Linked DNA regions of Macaca mulatta. The protein of the gene in region 4 purifies or fractionates together with the protein of the main gene of each other region. This does not show direct contact. Links are inferred from orthologs where the notes say so. Each region holds a gene or a part of one and is shown on either strand. Other genes may lie near its edges. The genes, in order: NUFIP2, ATXN2L, ATXN2 and FAM98A.

Region 1 (3,567 bases), on a different chromosome or scaffold from region 4:
GGATCACCTGAGGTCAGGAGTTTGAGACCAGCCTGGCCAACATGGGGAAACCCCGTGTGTACTAAAAATACAAAAATTAGCCAGGCGTGATGGTGGGCGCCTGTAATCCCAGCTATGTGCGAGGCTGAGGCAGGAGAATCGCTTGAACCCGGGAGGCAGAGGTTGCAGTGAGTCAAGATCACGCCACCGAACTCCAGCCTGGGAGACAAGAGCGAGACTCCATCTCAAAAAAAAAAAAAAAAAAGAAAAGAAAGAGAGTTACTAGCGTGAAACTTGAAAGATATCTCGTTCCCTTTAAACTTGGGCTTTGGGGCTATAGAAAGGAGACTCCCAAGAGCCTGGTCTTGATTATGCTTATCATGCTTGACATTGTAATTTGTCTAACTTATTTTCTAGTTACAAATTGGCATCCATTACTCCTTTTAAGACTTATCAGACTCCTCTTCAAAAATAGTGCTTCTACTCATTTTAAGCAAATTAGAACTACTAAATGAGCTCACTAATAAAGAAGCATATGATACAAAAAGCAAAGGAGAAGCTGGGCGCAGTGGCTCACACCTGTAATCCCAGCACTTTGGGAAGCAGAGGGAGGCAGATCACGAGGTCAGGAGTTTGAGACCAGCCTGGCCACCATGGTGAAACCAGTCTCTCCTAAAAATACAAAAATAAGCTGGGCATGGTGGCACATGGCTGTAATCCCAGCTACTCGGGAGGCTGAGGCAGGAAAATCACTTGAACCCAGGAGGCAGAGGCTGCGGTGAGCCAAGATCCCACCACTGCACTCCAGCCTGGGCAAGAGAGACTCCGTCTCAAAAACAAACAAGAAGCTGGGCGCGGTGGCTCACACCTGTAATCCCAGCACTTTGGGAGGCCAAGGCAGGTGGATCACAAGGTCAAGAGATTGAGACCATCCTGCCAACACGGTGAAACCCCATCTCTACTAAAAATACAAAAACTAGCCGGGCGTGGTGGCACGTGCCTGTAATCTCAGCGACTCAGGAGGCTGAGGAAGGAGAATCGCTTGAACCTGGGAGGTGGAGGTTGCAGTGAGCCGGGATTACACCACTGCACTCCAGCCTGGCAACAGAGTGAGACTCCCTCTCAAAGAAAAAACAAACAAAAAGCAAAGGAGAAACAAAAAAGCAAAGGAAAGAGAACATATGTTCAATAAAATTTTTTTTAAAGCACTCGGTCAAAAGAAAATATAACATCAACACCTTTAAGCAAGTTCTCCTCACTTCTTTGAACCAGGTAGATCAATTATGTTTGTATTTTTAAAAACCATTTTAAGTTGGAAAAGTGAACATTTCTTCTAAGTTTTAATCATACTAGTTCCAAAGACCCTGAATCAGTTTGATGTTAGTTGCTTATCCACATTGTCATTCTCTTAAAATACTCTTAATATGAACAACTAATTCTCTTAAAATTCTTAATATACTAAATTGGCCAATAAAAATCTTTGCATAGGAAACAAATGAGTTACCTTTAGTGTGATATACAATAGCAGCCCTCAGGTCAAATGAACCCCAGCTATCATTCCTTTCTAGGCCTCTCTGGTATCTCTGTTCTTTGGCAGAGCCTAACAAAGTGTTCGTAGGAGAGGCCAGAGGATTTTGATTTTCTATCTCGTAGTCCTTTGAGAGAAACACTAAAGCACCTTGACTACTGGTGTCTGCTTTCTGCAGGTCACCTATATGACTGGGTTCCAAGGATAAGGCTCCACTCTCACTAGTAGTCCCAGATTTTAGAATGCTACCCAGAACTTGAGGACTAGTCCGTTTCTCCAGCTCATAAGCCTTGGGAAACACAGGATGCTCAGTTCCTGAGGGAATTATTTCAGCACCCTGTGAAACCAAAGTGGCAGGATATTCTCCTTGAAATGTCACCTCCATCACTTTATGCTCTGATGACTTCCCAATAACAGTCTCAGGGCCAGCACTGGGCTCATTTATAAATGATAAACCCCACTGATTCTGGAAGATATCCCCCAGGTTTTGCTGATCTGTCTGAGAGGGCAGATCCACTTGTGCTGTGCTCAACAGCATAGTTTGCATATTTGAAGGATAGATAAAAAGGCTAGTCTTAATTTGTTCAACAGCTGCTGAAGTTAGACTCATGTCCTGGAGAACTGAATCTGTCCCAGAAGAGACGGGTGTTAGAGTATTAGCAGCAGTAGTTAGCAGTGGCTGACCCCCTGGAGGATAAACATTTGCATCAGTTCCTGCTAAAACAGGCCCATTAGAAAAGTTGGCAGAAGTAACAGATTTCAGCGCTGACATAGGGACCTGGGACAAGCGACTTGATGATTGGGTCTGAGTTTCCCCAGTAGATGATGATGATGATGAAGATGAAGTTGGTGACACAGAAGAGTTTTGTATAGTTTTGTTGAGGTTTTCCTTAACTTTGCTTGCATAACTTATTTTAGGAACTATTTTAGCACTGCTATTGTCCACTGGAAAAACTGGGGGTGGTTTAAATAGGGTCCATGAGTCCTCTTTGGAGGCAACAGCTGAAGCATGCTTTCCTTTGGGCCGATCATCAAACTTTTTGCTGCTCACACCAGGTTTACTATCTGAGCTTTTCCGAAGCATATCACCCACAGCAGGTTTTCCTCGACTTGTTCCTCCAGGCCCAGTTTCATACTTCCAAATGGGCTTCGAACCATCTACTCGATTTCCCTTTTGTTCACTATAGTCAGGCTTGAAAGTTTCAAGTCCCTGTTTTAAGGTTGGGACAGTGGTCTCTTGTTGCATTATTTTGTCCTGTACTATATTAAGGTTTTCACAACCCTTAGCACTATTGCGCCTAGCTTTCCTTTTTTTAGGAGTTGTATATCCACTCTCAGATCCACTACCATCATTATCTGCTCCTTTACCCATATAACCATTAGTAATATAGCCAGAATTATTTGTTACCACACCATTTGGAATTGGTATAGTATCAGACTTATCTACAGACTGGTTCTCTCCAGATTTATTTTCATAAGACTTTCCATTCTTTTTGTCCATACTGTTTTTCTGAATGTAATTCTTGGTTTTAATTCCTGCTTTCCCAAAGGTGTTGGCCTTTACAGTCTGCTTCAGGCTAGTGTCTACAATTTGCTGGTTGCCATTGAGGACCCTGGAAATAGGGTTGGTGGCTTCATCAGAACTCAGGTTCTTTAAAGAGATTTCTCTTTCTCCAGCATTACCGTTTAGTTCACCATAGCCTAGGGGAGGGAAAAAAACGGTTTATTAAAAAAAAAAAAATCACAACATGTAAATTACACTAATACCTAACATTTAAGAAATGTTTATTTACTGTATGCTAGACACTATGCTATGAACTGTAGCTTTATATTATTTCACATCTGTATGAGAAGACACTTGTCAGCCCCATTTCACAGACTAGGAAATGCAATCTACTGCTAAGCAAAGCAAGAGGTAGAACTGAGCCAAAATTCAAAGCAAAGTCTGAGGCCAGAAAAAAAGACCTCTTAAGCAGTATGCCAAATACCTCTCATCTAACAAAATCAATCTACCCATCACTCTCACAAGGCTGTTATAAAATTTTCTTTTTTTTGAGACA
Region 2 (3,567 bases), on a different chromosome or scaffold from region 4:
AGGAGCAAAAACTATGTTCTCCTGGAAACCTGTCTTCACTTAGTGACCCCATATCACCAACACATCACCTAGAGAGCACCAAGACACTCACGTATAAGAAGAAAGACTGCTATCGTAGGTGGTCTTCACACCGTAGTTCTCCTCATTAAACTTGAACATTTCATTGGGGTCCCATCCATTGGACTGGGGAGGGAGAAAGCAGGTTTTAAAATCCAGCAAGAAAAGCAACATTGACAAGTCACTTCCCTTCCATCAGATTAAAAACTCTTAAGATGTGACCAAATTGGCTGGGCACAGTGGCTGAAACCTGTAATCCCAGTAGTCTGGGAAGCTGAGGCAGGACGATCTCCTGAGGCCAGGAGTTTAAGGCCAGCCTAGGCAACACAGCAAGAGTCCATCTCTACAAAAAAATAATGAAACAGGTGGGTGTGGTGGTGCATGCCTGGGGTCCTAGCTACTTACTACTTAGGAGAGTGAGGAGAGAGGATCACTTGAGCCCAGGAGTTTGAGGCTGCAGTGAACTATTATGGCACCACTGTACTCAGGCCTGGGCGACTGGCTGGGGGTGGTGGCTCATGCCTGTAACCCCAGCACTTTGGGAGGTGGGTGGATCACCTGAGGTCAGGAGTTTGAGATCAACCTGACCAATACGGTGAAATCCCATCTCTACTAAAAATAAAAAATTAGCCATCCGTGGTGGCGCATGCCTGCAGTCCTAGCTGAGGCAGGAGAATCGCTTGAACCTGGGAGGCAGAGGTTGCAGTGAGCTGAGATTGAGCCACTGCACTCCAGCCTCCAGCCTGGTTGATGGAGCAAGACCCTGTCTCAAACAAAAAACAAAACAAAACAAACAACAACAACAAAAACCCAGGCAACAGAGCAAGATTCTGTCTGAAAAATAAATAAATAAGTGAACAACAGTGAAAAAAAATAAGGATGTGGCTGGCAAAAGTAATCAACTAATAATTGTAATTACTAACTGCAATTTTTTTTTTTTTTTTTGGCGACAGAGTTTCATTCTCGTTGCCCAGGCTGGAGTGCAACGGCACCATCTTGGCTCACCGCAACCTCCATCTCCTGGGTTCAAGCGATTCTCCTGCCTCAACCTCGCCAGTAGCTAGGATTATGGCATGTGCCACCACACCCAGCTAATTTTGTATTTTTAGTAGAGATGGGATTTCTCCATGTTGGTCAGGTTGGTCTTAAACTCCCAACCTCAGGTGATCTGCCTGCCTTGGCCTCCCAAAGTGCTGGGATTACTGGCATGAGCCACTGATCCCGGCCTGCAACTGTTAATAATTACTAACAATTGCAGCAGAAATTAGTGATAACTAGTAAACCTGAAAAGTCAAAAAATCCAACAAGTCTATGTCCAAGACATCCCAGAAAAATTCTGGCACATGTGCGTAGGGAATACAAGTTCTCAAAGTCCAGCAAGGTACTATTTTTAGTAGCAAAATAATAGAAACAAAATGCAGATGAGTAACGAAAAGGACAAATACAATTTGTTGCGTATACGTATGTGTGTGAATATAAAGAAAACATTACACAACAATAAAAGCAAAGAACTAGATCTATGTATCACCACGAGAAGTTCGAAAACGCAAAAAAAGCGAATTCTTGTACAAACCAAACATAACAAAGCAATAACATATTCATTCACAAGACATTTGTTTCTCAACAGACATTCTTGCTATGATGCCCAGGCTGGAGCACAGTGGCCATTCACAAGTTCAATCGTAGTGCACCAAAGCCTGAAATGATTCTCCTACCTCAGCCTCCTGAGGAGCTGGGACTACAGGTGTGGGACCACCATGCTCAGCTCTATTCATGAGCGATTTTTATTTTTATTTTTTGAGATAGCCTCACTCTGTCGCTCAGACTGGAGTCCAGTGGCACAATCTCAGCTCACTGCAGTCTCAAACTCCTGGGCTCAAGAGATCCTCCTGCCTTGGCCTCCTAAGTAGCTGGGACTACAGGAATGAGCCATTGTGCTCAGCCTCGTGAGAGATTTTAAATGTCTCAGAGTAGCTGATTTTGGGAAGAGAAACGGGTCTACACGATAATCTATACTTTTCGTTATGTTGAAAAATAATGTAATGCAAATGCTAGGAATGGTTAATTATAGATAGTAAGAAAATAAGTTGATGTTTTGGTTTTTTTTTGACAGGGTCCAGTCAGGCTGGAGTGCAGTGGTATGATCACAGCTCACTGTAGCCTCGACCTCCCTGGGCTCAAGTGATCCTCCCACCTCAGCCTCCCAAGTAGCTGGGATTACAGGTACATGCCACCAAACCTTGCTAGCTTTTATATATCTTGTTGCGACAGGGTTTTGCCATGTTGCCTGTGCTGGTCTCGAACTCCTTGACTCAAGTGACCCACTGGCCTTGGCCTACCAAAGTGCTAGGATTACAAGCATAAGCCACTGCACCCAGATGAGAATAGGTAGTTTTACTTTGCTATTTTCTATGCCTATTTGTTATCTGACCACCATCAACGGGCAACAGTAAATATTTCCCTCCCCCTTCAAATGAACCTCACTGTCAACAACCCATTCTGTCTGTCAAGCTCCCAGGTTCTCAGGGAAGGCAGCTATACCATGTCGGACTCGAGGTCGTAGTCGTCGCTGTTGCTGTCACCCCCCTCCCAGCGCTGAAGCACCTTCTCTTTGTGTTCCCCATTCACTTTTGAGTTCATGGCAATGGCTGAATCGGTGAACTTGTCTGTGGGGGAAGAGGTGAAGATCAGCAGTCAGGCCCTATTTCACAGACTTCTTTCCAATATCCCCCAACCCCACTCCCCATAAGTAGTAGTTCAGGAACGAAAAGTTTAAGAAGCCCAGAGTACGTGTGCCTGTGTGTCAGCACGGCCAGGGGGTGGGGAGGCAAAAGAAGAGTAAAAGAAGTCTATCAAGATTATGATTCCAAAGAAAAAAGAAATTAAAAACAAGCAAAGAAAATATGAAGAACCACAACACAGGCTGGAATTCATTCCATTATATATTAGACATCAAGACATATTTTTAAGAAAAAAAAAATCCACCCACCTTGCTCAGAAAAAATAAGAAAAGGTATTAAGGCAAAAAAAATAAATAAACCAAACACATCACCTTGTTCCACCTGCATGCACACAAACTGCCCTCTGTCCTCTATGCACACAGAGCAGGTCTGAGGTAAGAGCCTAGGACGATACCTTTAGTAGCGTAGTTGAAGTCAACATTTCGGAAGTGAACGAGCATGACATCACTTGGCTTAAACACCATGGTGTCCACAATGTCCTCCCGACGAGGGCCACCTGCTGGCTCAGATGCTTTCCGGTGCACAGCATCCACTGCTAGTTCAAACTACAAACACCCCCATTCCCCACACCCACGGGTCAGTTTCAAGAAATGTGAAGGCAAAATTAGGACTGGATTTCTCTAACCCTTCCCGAACTTTTCACAACACTACATCCTCAATACGCTTAGAACCAAGTGCATTGTTTTCTCAACATCAGCCACAGGACTTAGCAAAAGTCTCACAAAAATTTAAACTTAAATACTTTAACGTAAAAGTACCCAGCCCTCAA
Region 3 (4,158 bases), on a different chromosome or scaffold from region 4:
TTTGAGACGGAGTCTCGCTCTGTCACCCAGGCTGGAGTGCAGTGGCCGGATCTCAGCTCACTGCAAGCTCCGCCTCCCGGGTTCACGCCATTCTCCTGCCTCAGCCTCCCGAGTAGCTGGGACTACAGGCGCCTGCCACCTCGCCCGGCTAAGTTTTTGTATTTTTAGTAGAGACGGGGTTTCACTGTGTTAGCCAGGATGGTCTCGATCTCCTGACCTCGTGATCCGCCCGTCTCGGCCTCCCAAAGTGCTGGGATTACAGGCTTGAGCCACCGCGCCCGGCCGGAAAAATCTAAATTAACCTTAAACTGTTGTAAAGCCTCAAGGAACAGAAAAAAAGACCTTGTAGTACTAAAATATTCCAAATATCTTTGATCACTCCAACTACTCAGGTGCAAATTCTATTATAGTCTAATTTTTAAGCCTCATAGTCAATGCAACTTAACGACGTTAGTTTTAACGTTTATATATTTGAACATGTTGAATATATCTGCCAAATCTCTTGCTAATACCTAAGAAAGTAAAAACAGAATGCATCCTTTTCTATAAACATTGTATTTTAAATTTTTTTGCTAGATGCCAACGAAAAAAGGAAACTGAATTTACCCTCTACCTGGGGAAATGATCACTTCATCTGAACTAGTTTGGCTAAGCAGTGTTTGGGATGCTTCAGACTCACAGAAGGGGAAGGGTGGGCGGGGCGTGTAAAGTCAAACAACCGACTGTTTCCGCCCCCTTTGAAGGCAGCAGAATTCCTTAAAAACCAGCTGATTCCTCTTGATGGGGAATTTCTGCTGTAAATAAAAATTCTTTGGAAAGGGGTTGCTGAAAATGTGTTTTCAAAAAGAATACTCAGGTGAATGAAAAATCCTCTTATTCCACCTTCCAAAGCCCAAGATGCCTATTTAAGGAGGACGCCGGTCACCGGCCCTGTCAAGACGGCGGCCTAGGCCTAAGGAAGGCACAGCAGTGCCTGCAACACGGATGGACTTGAGGCACAGGGGAAATGGACTTGCGTGCCCTTGGTAAGCTCTGGCGGCTCTCCCGAAGTTAAGGACACCGGCCACAATGGAATGGAGTCTATTGACGTTTGCTTCTCCCTTTGAACACTAAGCATTTTCTTAGTTCGCGAAATACGAACTGACAACCACCCGCCACCCCCAACAGGCGCTCCTGCACAAACACACCCTCGAGTCAAACCCAGCTAGCCGGGACAACACTGAGCCCCCAGTCCCTACCACAACCCCAGCTTAGGAGGAAAAAAGACGCCAGTAAACACCCGCATTTCTGCCTTCAGGATCCCCACCACGTCCCCTGCTGCAATCTCTCTCTCCTAGCATTTCCGAAATTGGGGCGGGGGTTGGGATAACTGCGCAGGGTGCCCGCCCCCTGCCACCAGCACTGCCGCCCCGGATCTCCCCGGTCCAGCCTGGGTCCGGCCCTCGCCCACCGCTGTTCAGAGGCGCCTTCTCCACCGTGGCCTCGAACAGCAATGCGGATTGGCCACCACCCGCGCGCCGGAGAGGCCTGGCGGGGGAAGGAGGAAGGCCGGGAGGGGGCCGGGCACTCCCCACCCCTTCCCTTCCCCAAGTGGGGGAGGGCGGAACGTTGCAGGAGGCCACACGGAGCCCCACGATTCCAAGAGAGTTCGGGAGCCCCCGCCGCGCCCTCGGACTCGAACGCGGAGAGGTGCGGGGGCCAAGGCCCACCTGTCTCCACCTGGTCCTCCAATCTTTCCCAGGACTGGGAGGGGGCGGGGAGAGAGCCCAGACAGACCCTGATGATTCCGGAGAAGCCCGGTGCCTACCCCTTTAACAGGCACGAGGGACGCAGACCTAACTTCTCCCCTCCCGAGATGTCTCCCATGGCGGGTGAGGGGGGAGACACATGTTCCAGAAAACGACATCAAAGCCTCTAGACCCCTCCAACGTTCACATCTGAACTGGTAGTGGGGGCGCTGCCCGAGCATCCCCACGCTGCGGTCGGAGGATCGTGGGGAAGGGGGATCCGGGGCTGACCATCGCCGCTACCCGAAAACCCCTCCCAACACGCGTGGGGAGGGGAGGCCGCCCGCTCCCTCCATCTTGACCGCTGGGGGAGGGGGCGCGGATGCTGCGGGAGGCTGGACAAGCCTGACAATCCTAGAGGACCCCGGCTGCGCCCCCCGGCAGAGCCTCGGGGCTCAGGCCCAAGCGAGTCCCCCTCGCGCTGCCGGCCCCCGGCCCACCCCGGGCAGCCCGGCGGGTCACGGGGCGGGGACGGCGGCGCGGGCCGCGGGGGAGGGGACGCCGGGACCGGAGCGGAGGGGGCTGGCGTGCCGACACCCACCTGCCCAGGCCGGGCCTACCGCCGCCGGAGGTCGCCGCGGCCGCCGAGGAGGGAGTCGTGGCCGAGGACGAGGAGACCGAGGACGACGACGGCGAAGGCGAGGCGGCGGGCGACGCTAGAAGGCCGCTGCCGCCGGGCTTGCGGACATTGGCAGCCGCAGGCGGCTGCTGCTGCTGCTGCTGCTGCTGTTGCTGCTGCTGCTGCTGCTGCTGGGGCTTCAGCGACATGGTGAGGGGCCCATACACCGGCTCGCACGCCGGGCGGGGACAGCCGGGAGCCGGGCGCGCCGAGGAGACGCCGGAGCGCGGCGGGGACGCGCGGGCGCCGAGCAGGGAGGCGCGGGTTGGCGCGGCCGGGGGGGCACCCGGGCTGCCGCGGGGGAGAAGGAGGACGACGAAGGGGCGGGGAGGCCCGCCGAGACCGAGGAGCTGCGGGGAGCCGGGCCGGAACGCGCCACCGCCGTTGCCGTTGCAACCAAAACAGTCTGAGGCGGAGGGAGGCGAGCGCTGCCGGGAGGGAGGGGGGCCAGGGCCGGGCGGGGGAGGGGCGGCGGAGGGATACTGTCCAGAGGCCGCGCCACCGCCGCCCCGCCCGTTCCGCTGCGCCGGCCGCTGGAGCGAGCGCCACCCGGGCCAGTTGGCTGCGGCGAAGGGGCGAGACTGGGTGCCCGCCGCGGGACTCCGAGGAGCTGCGGCCACTGAGCGCATCGGAGGCCGGGCGCGCCGAGGCGCCGGGGGAGCGCGGAGGTGCGGTAGGGACTCTTTACCGGAAGTCGGAGGGGTCGGGCGGAAGCAGAACGTGAGTGGCCCCGGGGCCGGGAGGGACACGTGAGGGCGCCGCGCTGGGCCGCTTTCGCGGGGGTCGGCTGAGGGCCCGGCCGCGGGCCCTACCCGGATCCGCCCTCTTCGAGGCGGGTCTGCCCTTCGGGGAGGGCGTGTCGGTCTTAGCCTCTGGGGCCTGCCTGGTGTGTAGGACGAGAGGGAAGCATTTCTTTCCCCTACTGTATTCCTTCAGCGTCCTCACTTCTGCGGGGACCTGGTTTGCCCCCACCTGATGCAACCCAGAAAACGGACTGCGAGTGCCTTGAGGCGGAGAATGTGTCTTGCTACGTGTAAAGCACCTAGAACCCTGCCAGACTCAGGGGACACAGCATCCCGCCGTTTTCCTGCCGTCCCCACCTGGCACATAGTAGGCGCTCCAGTGGCTCTGGGCATCTCCCAGGCAGGCCGCGCTCTCCTGCCCTTGCCGGGGCTGGAGTGGAGCAACCCTCCGGGGCCACCCACATCTGGGTACCTTTTCCCCACTTTTTCCACCCCAGCCGCACACAGTCACCAGAAAACTCTTTTAGGTATCTGACCTTCATTTGAACCTACGTTCCCTCGTTTGAACTTCTTTTTCCTCATTCGTGACATTCTAAAGGAAATATATGGGACTGGGACTGCTAGCACCACGGATAATAGGATCTCCCTCGGTAGAGCCAGAGCCGACCTCACAAGAATGTGTGAACTTTAGACCTTGCACCCTTTAGAAGTTTTAATTTAACTTACCAGCCAGCACAGTAGACCCTTTTAAAAATGTGTTGCAATTAAGCTGGAAGCAAGTAGAAAGTAGATAACTTTTTATTTTTTTAGCAGTGAATCTATTGTTTTTTTAAAGTGAAAGGACTTCAGGAAATAATAGGGGAAGAAACACCAAAATTCCCCTCAATGTCCTAGAACTGCCCAGATAAAGGTAAAGACTTAGATAAACGTGGAGAATGATTGAACCAGCAGTTTTCAGTAGCCCAACTGAAATTAACCTCCTAGATAGTCCGGGCAAAACTGATCATCG
Region 4 (3,023 bases):
AACAGGTAAAGTTAAAAGCGATGGTTTTAGTTATCAGAAGAATGTGCTTATCTCAGTAGCAAGTAGATTATTTTAAATGGCATGAGTTGATTCTTTTAAAAAGCCCAATTTAGTAGTAGAAAGAAAATACAATTTCTCTTTTAACAAACATGTTTATATTTTCAGTTACTTCCTTTTTTAAAAAAAAAGTCCCCCAATCTTAGGAAGAATGGAGAAGCAAATAACAAAAAAAACCCTAAAAACTTGAGACATTTTTGCCTAGTATGTGTAGCAACAGCTACACCCAGTGGCCAGAGATAAGTAGTGACGGTTTCTAGCTGCTTCTTACAAAAGGAAAACCTGAAGAGCCATTTTTCTATTTATTTAAGGTTTTAGGGTAAGAATCACCTTTCACTACAATTAGATTTTAAGGAAATACTCAAGAATCTTTGGGAACAAAAGCCTTAGCTCATTAGCTTGACGCAAGAGTCCAGAATAATTCAGTAGCTAAAATAAAACTCAAACCAAAGAGAGAACTTAACAGGTACTTTATTGCTCACCTTTCACACAAAGCACACCTCCAGCCATTTTCTTTCACAGCTTGACAATGTTTACATGTACAAAAACCCAGCAAGAAGCATCATGTCATGTAGATTTCAGTAAGGGAGAATGTAAAACATCAACTCAGCCAGGCTTTTGTTTTCTGCAGCAATAATAAAGGGCCTCCTGCACTTAGCAAAAATCTGTCTTAACTTTGTAGTGCATTTCTTCCATTACAAAAAAAGTCTCCTGCCTAAAGCAAACTAACTTGTATTTGCTGAGCCAGTGGTATTAACTCATGCATAAAACAAATTTCGGTTTGCTATTTCTTCTAGCAAATTTCAAGTAAAAATAAGGTTGAAGGAGGAATTTGTTTTGGATGGATGCAGGTCAGTTTGAATTGCTATATTTAACTAAATGCCTACATGTACTAGAGGTTCACAACTTAGTTTGCTTTTATAATCTTTATGGATTTTGGCCGTGTTCAAGGTTTTCAGATTTGAGCATATGATACAGTATTCCATCAACAAAATAAGGCTACTGAATGTGCTATCTGCAGAAGAGCTCATTTAATAGGAACTGACCTAAAAGTTCTATCATGAAGCACACGTGGCATAAAAGTCAACCGGGGGCAGAACTGTGCTTGGAAATAGGCATTGGAATACTTTAAGCAAAACACATATAAATGGTTATTCATATGAGGAAGGTTTCCTAGTAGTAAATCTAAAAAAGTCTAGGTGAATCCTCATTTTCAAAACTGCATATTGAAAACATGAAAACTACTTATTCAAGTAATTGCTTCAAAAAAGTATGCATGTTCTGACTGTGGAATTAGTCTACTGGTCAATTAAAGGCAATTTTAATCACCTTTTAAAAAATTTTTCATAGAAAGGAGAGATGTTATGTGTTTCTCAAATAAACAGCATTATGTAAGTCCAATAAAAAAATCCAACAGAATTGAATGAAGACCTACAAATGCTTATGCCAAGCAGGAATCTGCCTGCCACCTGTGGTCTCACATTAATTCAAAATAGGTGCTGAATTCAGGATTCTGAAACTAAGTTTCTATTACTTGAGCTCTAGCAAAATGTAAGGTTCGGTAGCCTCAACTAGTATAATGTCTTCCCTGCCCAAATCCAGAATGATTATACTGATAACCTCCATGCTGGAAATGCTGTTCAAATTGACCCCCTTGGTGATAATTCTGGCTCCCTCTTCCTCCCCAGCCTCCTCCCTGGCCTGCACGACCCCCTCGCCCTCCACGACCCCCTCGCCCTCCACGACCACCACCACGATCACCGTGGTGCCCACCATCTTGGTATCTATTGTCCTGCTGGTAGCCACCACCCTGGTATCCACTTCCTGTATATGAAGATGTTTGGAAGCCACCATAACCTCCGCCTTGATAACCACCACTGTGGCCACCATGATAGCCACCTGGCTGGAAACCTGAATCTCGATAACCACCATCTTGGTAGCCACCTCCTCCTCCACTCCCTCCATCTGTCCAGCCTCCTTGATGCTTATTTCCTCTTCCTCCCCCTCGGCCACCATGGTCATAGCCACCACGTCCACCTCTCCCGCCTCCTTGTTCATGACCTCCTCGTCCTCCGTATGAGGAATGTTCATAGCCACCTCTCCCTCCTCCTCGGCCTCCTGTTTGCTGCTGGGGGCCATCTTGCCTCTTCTGCCATGGTGGCATCTCTGGGGGTGGAGGTTCGATTTCATTGGGTCTACCACCTCTGTCAGGCACCCTGCCCATCAACACCTACAGAATAGGAAAGATATTTTAAACTTTTATTTTACGAACAGAAATAAATGCATTTGGAAAAAATTAAAGGTACTCTAATCACCTTATTGATGGCACAGGCAGTTTTTTCTCTTATAGAGCCGCTGCTTGTCCTTAAAATCTTTGACAAGTCCTGCCTTGCAGCCAAAAGATGGGCAACAGAAATAGTACTTTTAGGGGATAAGACTGAACGTTTCGGCTGGTAAACCTTGGCTAATTTTTCTGTCTGGCTCTGTTGAAAGAAAAGTGTTCAAAGAGAAATATCAATTTTCAAAATGACATAAGAAACACATATTAAATAAGTTAAAAGTCTCCAAAATATCTGATAATGATATTTACTAGGCTCCAGATGGTAGGAAAAGTTATATACTCACTACTGCTCCTATGTAGACAAGAACTACCTTAAAAGTACAGCTGCCAGACTTGTTGACACAACAAGGAGTGACAGGGACAGTGAGGGCAGGGGTGGAGTGGGAGCGCTTCCCTTTAGGGTTATGAGGCCAACATGATAAAAAGGTTCCCCCATCATTGGTCTCAGATTGAACATATTCATATTCTCTATTTAAATATAAGAATGTAAAGTTATTTCAACAATTTTGCTTTTTAATTTTCCTATCTTTGGTTTCTATGAGGTAATAAGTATCTGCTGAATGACCAAGGTCTTTACCTGGATTGTCTCATTTAGCTGAAAAAAAAAACTTAAGTCTTATCAAAT

Evidence for each region.
Region 1: the proteins of FAM98A (region 4) and NUFIP2 purify together in Homo sapiens (co-immunoprecipitation; 3 studies listed by BioGRID and IntAct, with this or other methods). This does not show direct contact. The link is inferred for Macaca mulatta from reciprocal best matches to the Homo sapiens genes FAM98A and NUFIP2.
Region 2: the proteins of FAM98A (region 4) and ATXN2L purify together in Homo sapiens (co-immunoprecipitation; 3 studies listed by BioGRID and IntAct, with this or other methods). This does not show direct contact. The link is inferred for Macaca mulatta from reciprocal best matches to the Homo sapiens genes FAM98A and ATXN2L.
Region 3: the proteins of FAM98A (region 4) and ATXN2 purify together in Homo sapiens (co-immunoprecipitation; 3 studies listed by BioGRID and IntAct, counting the BioPlex papers as one, with this or other methods). This does not show direct contact. The link is inferred for Macaca mulatta from reciprocal best matches to the Homo sapiens genes FAM98A and ATXN2.

What each region holds. Positions count from the first base shown.
Region 1 is NC_133421.1:38,007,556-38,011,122, forward strand, and holds part of NUFIP2 (FMR1-interacting protein NUFIP2), read right to left. Parts: intron 3,209-3,567; coding exon 1,484-3,208; exon of another isoform or gene 804-1,483; intron 1-803. UniProt on the Homo sapiens protein: Binds RNA.
Region 2 is NC_133425.1:28,113,735-28,117,301, forward strand, and holds part of ATXN2L (ataxin-2-like protein), read right to left. Parts: intron 3,344-3,567; coding exon 3,193-3,343; intron 2,724-3,192; coding exon 2,599-2,723; intron 184-2,598; coding exon 92-183; intron 1-91. UniProt on the Homo sapiens protein: Involved in the regulation of stress granule and P-body formation.
Region 3 is NC_133416.1:118,797,215-118,801,372, forward strand, and holds the start of ATXN2 (ataxin-2), read right to left. Parts: upstream 2,840-4,158; 5' UTR 2,556-2,839; coding exon 2,329-2,555; intron 1-2,328. UniProt on the Homo sapiens protein: Involved in EGFR trafficking, acting as negative regulator of endocytic EGFR internalization at the plasma membrane.
Region 4 is NC_133418.1:91,384,956-91,387,978, reverse strand, and holds the end of FAM98A (protein FAM98A), read right to left. Parts: intron 2,541-3,023; coding exon 2,373-2,540; intron 2,288-2,372; coding exon 1,625-2,287; 3' UTR 513-1,624; downstream 1-512. UniProt on the Homo sapiens protein: Positively stimulates PRMT1-induced protein arginine methylation. Involved in skeletal homeostasis. Positively regulates lysosome peripheral distribution and ruffled border formation in osteoclasts.